Xenopus tropicalis: one gene and its partner. The protein of the gene in region 1 binds, or shares a complex with, the protein of each later gene. Links are inferred from orthologs where the notes say so. Each region holds a gene or a part of one and is shown in the gene's direction. Other genes may lie near its edges.

Evidence for each region. Proteins that work in one complex are often made in the same cells at the same time.
Region 2: the proteins of vdac2 (region 1) and tomm5 are in contact, whole or in part, in a cryo-EM structure (PDB 9EII), measured with the Homo sapiens proteins. The link is inferred for Xenopus tropicalis from reciprocal best matches to the Homo sapiens genes VDAC2 and TOMM5. Residues at the interface, in NP_001171752.1 of Homo sapiens: Val38, Thr60, Gly63, Asp239, Tyr258, Gln260, Thr261, Leu262, Leu268, Leu270, Val286, Leu288; in NP_001001790.1 of Homo sapiens: Ile25, Arg29, Leu32, Ile33, Ala36, Arg39, Val40, Phe43, Ile44, Lys47.

What each region holds. Positions count from the first base shown.
Region 1 is NC_030683.2:54,956,439-54,960,632, reverse strand, and holds the start of vdac2 (voltage-dependent anion-selective channel protein 2), read left to right. Parts: upstream 1-1,249; 5' UTR 1,250-1,266; intron 1,267-4,194. UniProt on the Homo sapiens protein: Non-selective voltage-gated ion channel that mediates the transport of anions and cations through the mitochondrion outer membrane and plasma membrane.
Region 2 is NC_030677.2:108,996,946-109,000,796, forward strand, and holds tomm5 (mitochondrial import receptor subunit TOM5 homolog), read left to right. Parts: upstream 1-1,192; 5' UTR 1,193-1,711; coding exon 1,712-1,832; intron 1,833-2,931; coding exon 2,932-2,966; 3' UTR 2,967-3,246; downstream 3,247-3,851.

The sequences.
Region 1 (4,194 bases):
GTATTCATTTTGGGGTCTCTATGTCCCACCTAGGAGCAGTAACTGATAGCAACCAATAAGATGTTTGCTTTTAAACAGGTGACCAGTGACACCACCAGCGGCGCTTCTGCCATTAAGCGAGTTGAGAAACTCGCCTCAGGCGGCAGAAGCGCCCCAGTTACCAGGGGCGGCAAAAAGCCGCTCCTGGTAACTTTAAGAGCTGAATTTCCAGGTTTTTAAACACACTCTCTGCACTAGCGATCTCACCGCCCCCGGACCCGCTCCTGCGCTCAGAAGGTAAGCGCTGGGGAGCGGGGGCGGCATCCAGGAGCCGCCTCAGGCGGCGATATGTCCAGAATCGCCCCTGGACACCACCACCCCCTCACCCAGGTTAGTCAGGTTAGCGGGGTTAGTCAGAGCAGGTGTGCATGTATGTATTAGCTCACTGTAGTAACATAGGCTGACAAAAAAGACACACGCCCATTGAGTTCAACCTTTAATGCCAATATAAAACCGGACCAGATAAATATGTTTTTGCTAAAACGTTCTTAACAAAGACAGATGCATTTTTTGCATAGCTCATTTTACATGACGTACAAACAACAACATACCAATCACAAATATGACAAACAATTACAGACATTCTCGAAGAAACACACACTATTAGAAAATGAAGCGTTCTCAAGTATACAGACCTCAGCACAATGGAATTGGTCACCTCTGAATATACAGATAGTGAGGGAATGCTCATGTTACAGAGTTGGTGAACTGGATAAAAAAATGACGACAAGTAGAAATTATTTTTTCTGGAAATATCAGAGGTTTATTCTACCACTACAACTGTACTTGCTGAATTTATGACGTACGTAGTAAAAAATAACAATAAAAACCCAAACTTTACGCCACCCACCGGTTCCTCCTTTAAGGTCACCCAGAGAAGCTATGCGCATGCGTCAGTCCATCCCATGCCCTCTACAATACCAAGGGCGGTAAATGAGGGTGCTTACTGTGCCTGTTCCAAATAACGCTCACGTTTTCATCATGTCGTCATTACCACTAATACATCCTTAACATTTCTAATGCTAACAAGTTTGTTTAAAAACTAAAAGCTAAAAGCTATATGTATATGTCAGGGACCGTAACCGTACAAAGGCGCAGGCAAAACCTAGGAAGACTAAAAGGCGGAGTGCTTAGGCGGGGCTTGCTGCTGACAGCCTCAGTGTCTCCTTCACTTCGCCCTCCAGTCGCACGCACCGCACACGACAGGCCGTGTAACCCACTTCTCAGGTATTTGAACTTGCAAAAGGATCAGACTTTTAACTTAATTTATAGAGATACTGCACATACACCCAAATACGATCTTGGCTGTTGGGGACGCTCGATGTTTTTGGCAATAATTAAATGATTGCAGCGTGAGAAGAACAATTTACTGGCGGCGTGGGTATAATTGGGTCTGGAGATCAAGCAAGTTACAAGGGAAGGGAATTTTAGAAAACAGATAATGTGAGGTACTATCAGTAAGTGCCTGTAAAATGCCGATAATGTGCCGAAACGACTAATAGATGCGATATTTGTTATTCTTATGGCTAAAAATGCTCTTTATTTTGTTTATTCGTGTGAGGAGTATTTAAACGAATTAATGGCCTTAAAATGTAAGTCTGCATGTCTATTTTGCAGAATAATTTATTTACTATTTAAATTGATATCCATGGGAGCTGCCGTGCTAAAGCCATTACTGAATGAATTTAATATTTTCTGCAAAACAAATTACCTGGGTCCAAAATTATTTCCTCCTGATATTAACTCTTTATTCAGGGTGATACTTCTGTTTTACTCACCAACAGGCCTAGACTGTCATTCTGTGAATTTTGTTAAATGCCAGAGGGACTGCAGCAAGATGCCATAGAGTAGGGGTACCCAGACTTTGGGGTATATTTATCATGCTGTGCAAAAAGTGGATTAAAACATCACCGGTGATGTTGTATATAGCAGCCAATCAGATGCTTTGATTTGATTTTCTAACTGTTAAACTCTAATTGCTGATTGGTTGCTCTGGGTAAGATCACCAGTAATGCTTTACTCCACTTTTTACACAACATGATAAACATACCCCTTAGTCACCCTGTGATCTACACTTGCCACCTGGCCTCCATCATGAGATCTACCACAGTTAAAATAGGGCGACGTCTATCATTTGGCGCAACAGGCAAGAAAAAGTATCAATTGGTGTTTAACAAATATACACAGAAATATATAAATGCAGTGACAAATTCACATTTAATGCCCACATAATATTATTCAAGTGCCAACTTCAAGTTTAATTTGAAAGGATTGTAGTAGTTTTTACTTCCTTTCTTCGTGGCCCACTTTGTTGGCTGCACACAGAAACAAATATAAAGTGGGAACAAATATATACAGCGGCCTGGTGGGGACAATCTTCTATACTGGGATGAAACAACAAAGACGAATAGCTTGAGCAGTTGCACTCAAAAGTATGATGGGGGGGGGGGGGAAAGAAGTGGCGGGATGTCATCCCACTGTATTCCACCTTGAGGTATACCAAATACTTAAAATTGATCTACCGCGATCTACCTTTTGGGCACCCCCGCCATAGACAGTCACTATCTAATGGGCTGGTGGAAGGCTGTTTGGGCCTCTCAGAACTTGAAATGCCACAGCAATTTTTAAATCCAAGTCCAGACCTGCACACCAAAAAATATGTAGTTGGAACTGTGAATGTATGTCTCTTAATCCGCCAGATCAATTATTTTGGTCAGATGACGTTACCTTTCATGCTGCCCTTGTTTCCTCTTGAACAATGATTATATGAATTTTTTGTGCCATTGGTGTAACCAATCCCCCAATTTGGTAACCACCGCAGTAGATACAAATGTACGTTGTATTAAATACGTAGATCCTGACTTCTGCAAGGACATCATCCTTAAATCACTAGTCGGTAAAATGACCACATTTTACTATTCATAGCTGTCAGTGTAATGTCTCATGTACATGCTTTAGTAAGCATGTAAGTTTTTTTTAGTTGACGTTTTAATGTACTTTACAATATTAATTAATTTGGTCCAATCGTATTTTTCTTATTAAATTACCTATAGATACATCTTGCAGATATGATTTCCAGATCATACAGTTTTGGGAATAGTGCACATAGTTTAATGTCATTTTAATTTGGTATAATAGCTAATTTACTAGTATGCTTCAGTTTATATTGCAATACCTAAATAATTAAATGCTCGCTTGAGTACCATCTAAGATCTTGATGGGAGTCTATGAATCAGAGTTCAGAAACTATGCAACATGTTAATATATTTTGTAGTCCACCTTATTGAAAGGACAAGGAAAGATTAAATAATCCCAGTGTATAAAGTTGTTACCTCTTTTTAAGAACATTTTTTTTTTTTTTTTTTTTTTTTACTGAACAGGACCAGCAGTAGAATTATCAAACTCCTAAAGTGGCGCATCTCCATCTCTGTAGTATTTCCAACTCTCTTGTGTTTTTTCTCAGGCCTTTGGGTTTTTTCATGGACACTTAAAGGACAAGGAAAGGCAAAGTCACTTGGGGGTGCCCCAAGTGACTTAAATCGCCTACCTTTTACCCTGGGCTGGTGCCCCTGTTCGGAGAGAACAGCTCCAGCCCGGGGTAGCTGCAGCGCTTCCTCCTTCGCGCATGCATGTGCAATAGAGTGAAAAGCTGAACGTTAACATAAAAGTCTGCTTTTCACTCTACTGCGCATGCACCGGTCGTGGGGTCCCGGCAAAACGAAGCAGGAAGGAGGAAGCGCTCGCTACAGGTACTGGTGCTGTTTTCTCCTAACAGGGGCACCAGCACGGGGTACAAGGTAAGCGATTAAAGTCACTTGGGGGTGCCTAACATTTTGGCACCCTCAAGTGACTTAGCTTTTCCTTGTCCTTTTAAGAAAACATTTCCTATAGTTCTCATGTACAAGTCTAGATGACTGCATGGAAGCCTTGTTAAATTTTACAAAGATGACTTCGCTTAGTGAGTAAGATACAGGAATAGTGCAATTTTACTGAACTAGGGGACTCTTCTGGGGGTAAAAAAGTTTATGATTTGATACACTGGGGGGAGGGGGGTGCTTAACATATTGGCACTTTCCTAATGTACCAACCCTTCCTTGCTCTTTATGCTGAATCCAGCATTTTTCTATTTTTAGGCTTAGCTTTACAGAATTGAAT
Region 2 (3,851 bases), on another chromosome or scaffold:
ATTGATCAATGCACATTTCCTGGTCCCCTGTTTCATAAGTAAATTATCTATGCTAGTGCATATATTTACAAAAACAGGGGTTTTTAGTTACAAAATTATGATCATAAGATTGGTAAGCCACCATACCACATCAAGGTAAACCCCGTATGGTGGTCCTATCTATTTACCTCTGGTCATATTTTTCAAAGGCTGGCACTCCCGTGCACTGTTGCCATTCTTGACCTGGGGGCTGGTTTGAGCCAGAAGGTTTAGTCAACCCTCTTGTCTTCAGCTTTTATAGAGAGAGATTGCCAAGATCGCAGCAGTGGTTCTACAGGCGAAGGAGAAGATGTTGCATGTTTCCAGGTTGGGTGCATAATACAAGCAACAGTGTATGGATTATAAGTGAAGTTCCGATTGAACTTGACTTGGTGATCGCACGTTGAACTGAAACGAAAAGCCACCTACTCATTTGATAATGCGCATGAGCCCCTTATTGTTATTTATGGTGTAATTACTTTTACAACCAATTTTGCTGAGAACTCAAACATGAATAAGATACCGGATAATAATGGGTGAGATCTATGTGTACATCTAATTGACAGAGTAAACATTGTTTGATGGACATCCGGAACTAATGGTATAAGAAATTGAATGAATTAATATATGCACCATAGGATATTTCACCACCTGGGCAAATGGTTTTATTTTGAATGAATTGTTTCATTACTGGATATGAAATCCTTGATAATATTTTTTTTATATTTTTAATATGTTTAATAAATGAATTGTTTTTTATTACTGATTATGTTCTCCACCAATGAATTTATTGAAAATCTGACAATTGAATGCGGCTTAGTGGCGCTGTTCTTACAAATTTATTGAAGTGCAATTAAGTAGCCTGACGCTACCACTTTAAGTGGTTTAATTGAGTCTGTGAAGGCAGGAATGCTCAGAGAAAGTGTGTTGGCCCAACAAATAAAGAACAAAGTGTCAGAATTGTTTTAAGCTTCCAGACCACAAAATAATCCAGCTATCCTACTGTCAATTTATAAAGTTGTATGAAAATATTACTTTGACACAACTTCAACCACATTTCTCACTTTGCCATGGTTATAAAGATCAGCACTGACTTTAACCAAAATATCATTGGCATTTGTCTGTCAGACGTGGACAAATCACATTTCACGTTAGTTCTTTTAGGAGAACAGAGAACTTTTTGGGTGGCACATAAGATCAATTGTCCATATTTTCCTACTTCTACTAATATAATACGATTTGTGTTACTTTTTACACAAAATGCATAGGCAATTCCAACACTAAGGAAATGGCAAAGTGTAATTAAGTAGTAAACCTTAAGTCTCAAAGCTTTAGATAAATATGAGTGTGTAAGGTCAGACAGATATAAGCATAATAATGAATATTCGTGCATTTTTGAGTGTCCGCCCTACAGCACTATTGTTTTTAGACCAGTCCACAGTCCCCACACGAAACAATTCGTTTTGCTATGCTTGTAACTACATCACGAAAATAAACTTCGCAAGAATATTGACCCTCGGCGGTGCCCGTATGACGCGTATTTCGTGCGCCTATACGATTTGTCATTTTCCGGGATTTCAACGAGTGACCTCCAGCTAGTGCGACCCCTATTTCCGGGGATGCGCATGTTGTATCCAGTCCTGCAATATTCCTATACCTGCATCTGATCGCTCTTGTGCTTTTCCATCACACGATGTTCCGTCTGGAAACCCTTGGGTCGAAGTGTGATCCAGAGGAGCTGAGGAAAAAGATGCGGCAAGACGTGCTGACCTCAGTTCGAAATTTTCTTATATACATAGCAGTTCTGAGAATCAGTGAGTAAGGGTGGCGGGATGTTAGCATGCTGCTTGCGTCTGACGTTTACTTTAGCGCTTGGCAGAAAATATATAAATCAGTTTACATTTTACCAAGGAAAGAGCTCTTTTGTGTATCATAACCAAATGGTTTATATTGGCACTGAGAGTGGTTTTATAGGGCCCTTATACTATACACTGTATGTCCTAGATACATGTCCTATGCCTTACACAGGGTGTGGCATAAGGTAAAGCCCCAGGTACTGGGTCAGAGGTTAAAAGCAGGTACTGGTCAATGTGGTGGAACTGTGTATCAGGATGCATGTGCAGTCCCCTAGTCCCACATAGGTCCATAACTTGAGCATTAAGTGTAAGGACCTGTATCACTTATTTTTATTATCACTGGAATTTTTTTATTCGCCATCCCTTGCAGCTTAGATTTATTTATATATATATATATATATATATATATATATATATATATATATATATATATATATATATAGGTATCGGACCCCTTATCCGGAAACCCGTTATCCAGAAAGCTCCGAATTACGGAAAGACCGTCTCTCATAGACTCCATTTTAATCAAATAATTCAGAATTTTAAAACTGATTTCCTTTTTTTCTGTAGTAATAAAACTTTACCTTGTAATTGATCCCAACTAAGATATAAATAATCCTTATTGGATGCAAAACAATTCTATTGGGGTTAAATAATGTTTTATTGATTTTTTAGTAGACTTAAGGTATGGAGATCCAAATTACGGAAAGACCCCTTTTCCGGAATACCCTTGGTCCCGAGCATTCTGGATTATGGGTCCTATACCTGTGTGTATATATTATTTTAATAAAAACATTTAATATCAATTATGAAAACAAGGGTTTGTTCTACTTACAATTATCAGCTCTATAATGTTATAGTATTATAATATGCATAGTGCAGTTATATGCTTTGCTGCATATGTCAGCCATATAAAACTAATACTGCTAATTTAGTGAAGGCTATACTGCTTTGTCAACCCTTCTGTATCTTCTTTGTACTAAGGGTGTTAAGGTAACATGAGATTCCCTGCAGAGAAATTGATTTCGATTTTATTTTCTTTAATCCATATCTACAGCTCCATTTGTCTTGAAGAAACTGGACAGTATATGAAACAATGAACTGAAGAGCTCCACAAATGAAGCTTATTGAAGAGTGGGACCTGCCTGGACAACAACAAATTATGGATAGTGTTTTACAAAAAGTGAACTTAATATATTTTTCACATCCATTAGACTGAGGTTTTTCCAGCTTTTGTTTTGCCTGTGACTGTTTGAGAACTGACCATTCTTTTTATGTAGAATGTTACTGGCTTTTGTCAAAAAAGAAACTTAAAAGTGTACATGGGCTGTTATGTAAGATGAACTAAGTAGTAAAGTTTTTTTTTCACAGACTTGTCATGAATGTGTGAGCTAATTGTGAAAGTCAAAAGGGTACTAAAGGCTGCTATTTTTGCAACTTACACTTTTTTTTAACCTTTTCTGAAAAGAGAGGATTCAAAACAATCCTGTCTTCTGCAACAGTTTAATATTGACAATTCAGAAGTTGATTCTCTTTGCAGGTAGTCTCTATAATTGGAAGCCTCCGGCATAGGGAGCCCTCCTAGCATTATCTTTGCACATTGCTTTCTTTAGCAGGAACAGAACTGTGGAATGACCACATTCTATCCCAGGGCCGCCATCAGTGGGGTACAGGGGGGACAATCGTCCCGGGCCCCGTGAGTTTTGGCTCTTAAGGGGGGCCCGGCTCTACTGCACTCACCTTTATGGGAATGGGTAAGAGAAAGTCTTTGGCAGAAAAATATGGTGATTGGGAAAAACAGAAAGGGAGAGTATGTAGAGAAAAACAAAGAAGTGAGGAAAGGTGGGTGATCCACTAGCAGAGATGACAGTGTGAAATAAGGACAAAAAGTTTAAGAGACGAAAAGTAGTATAAGAGCTGAAATGCTTGAAGAAGAAAAAACATAGAAAAATGTAAGAAAGCAGGACAGAAAAACAA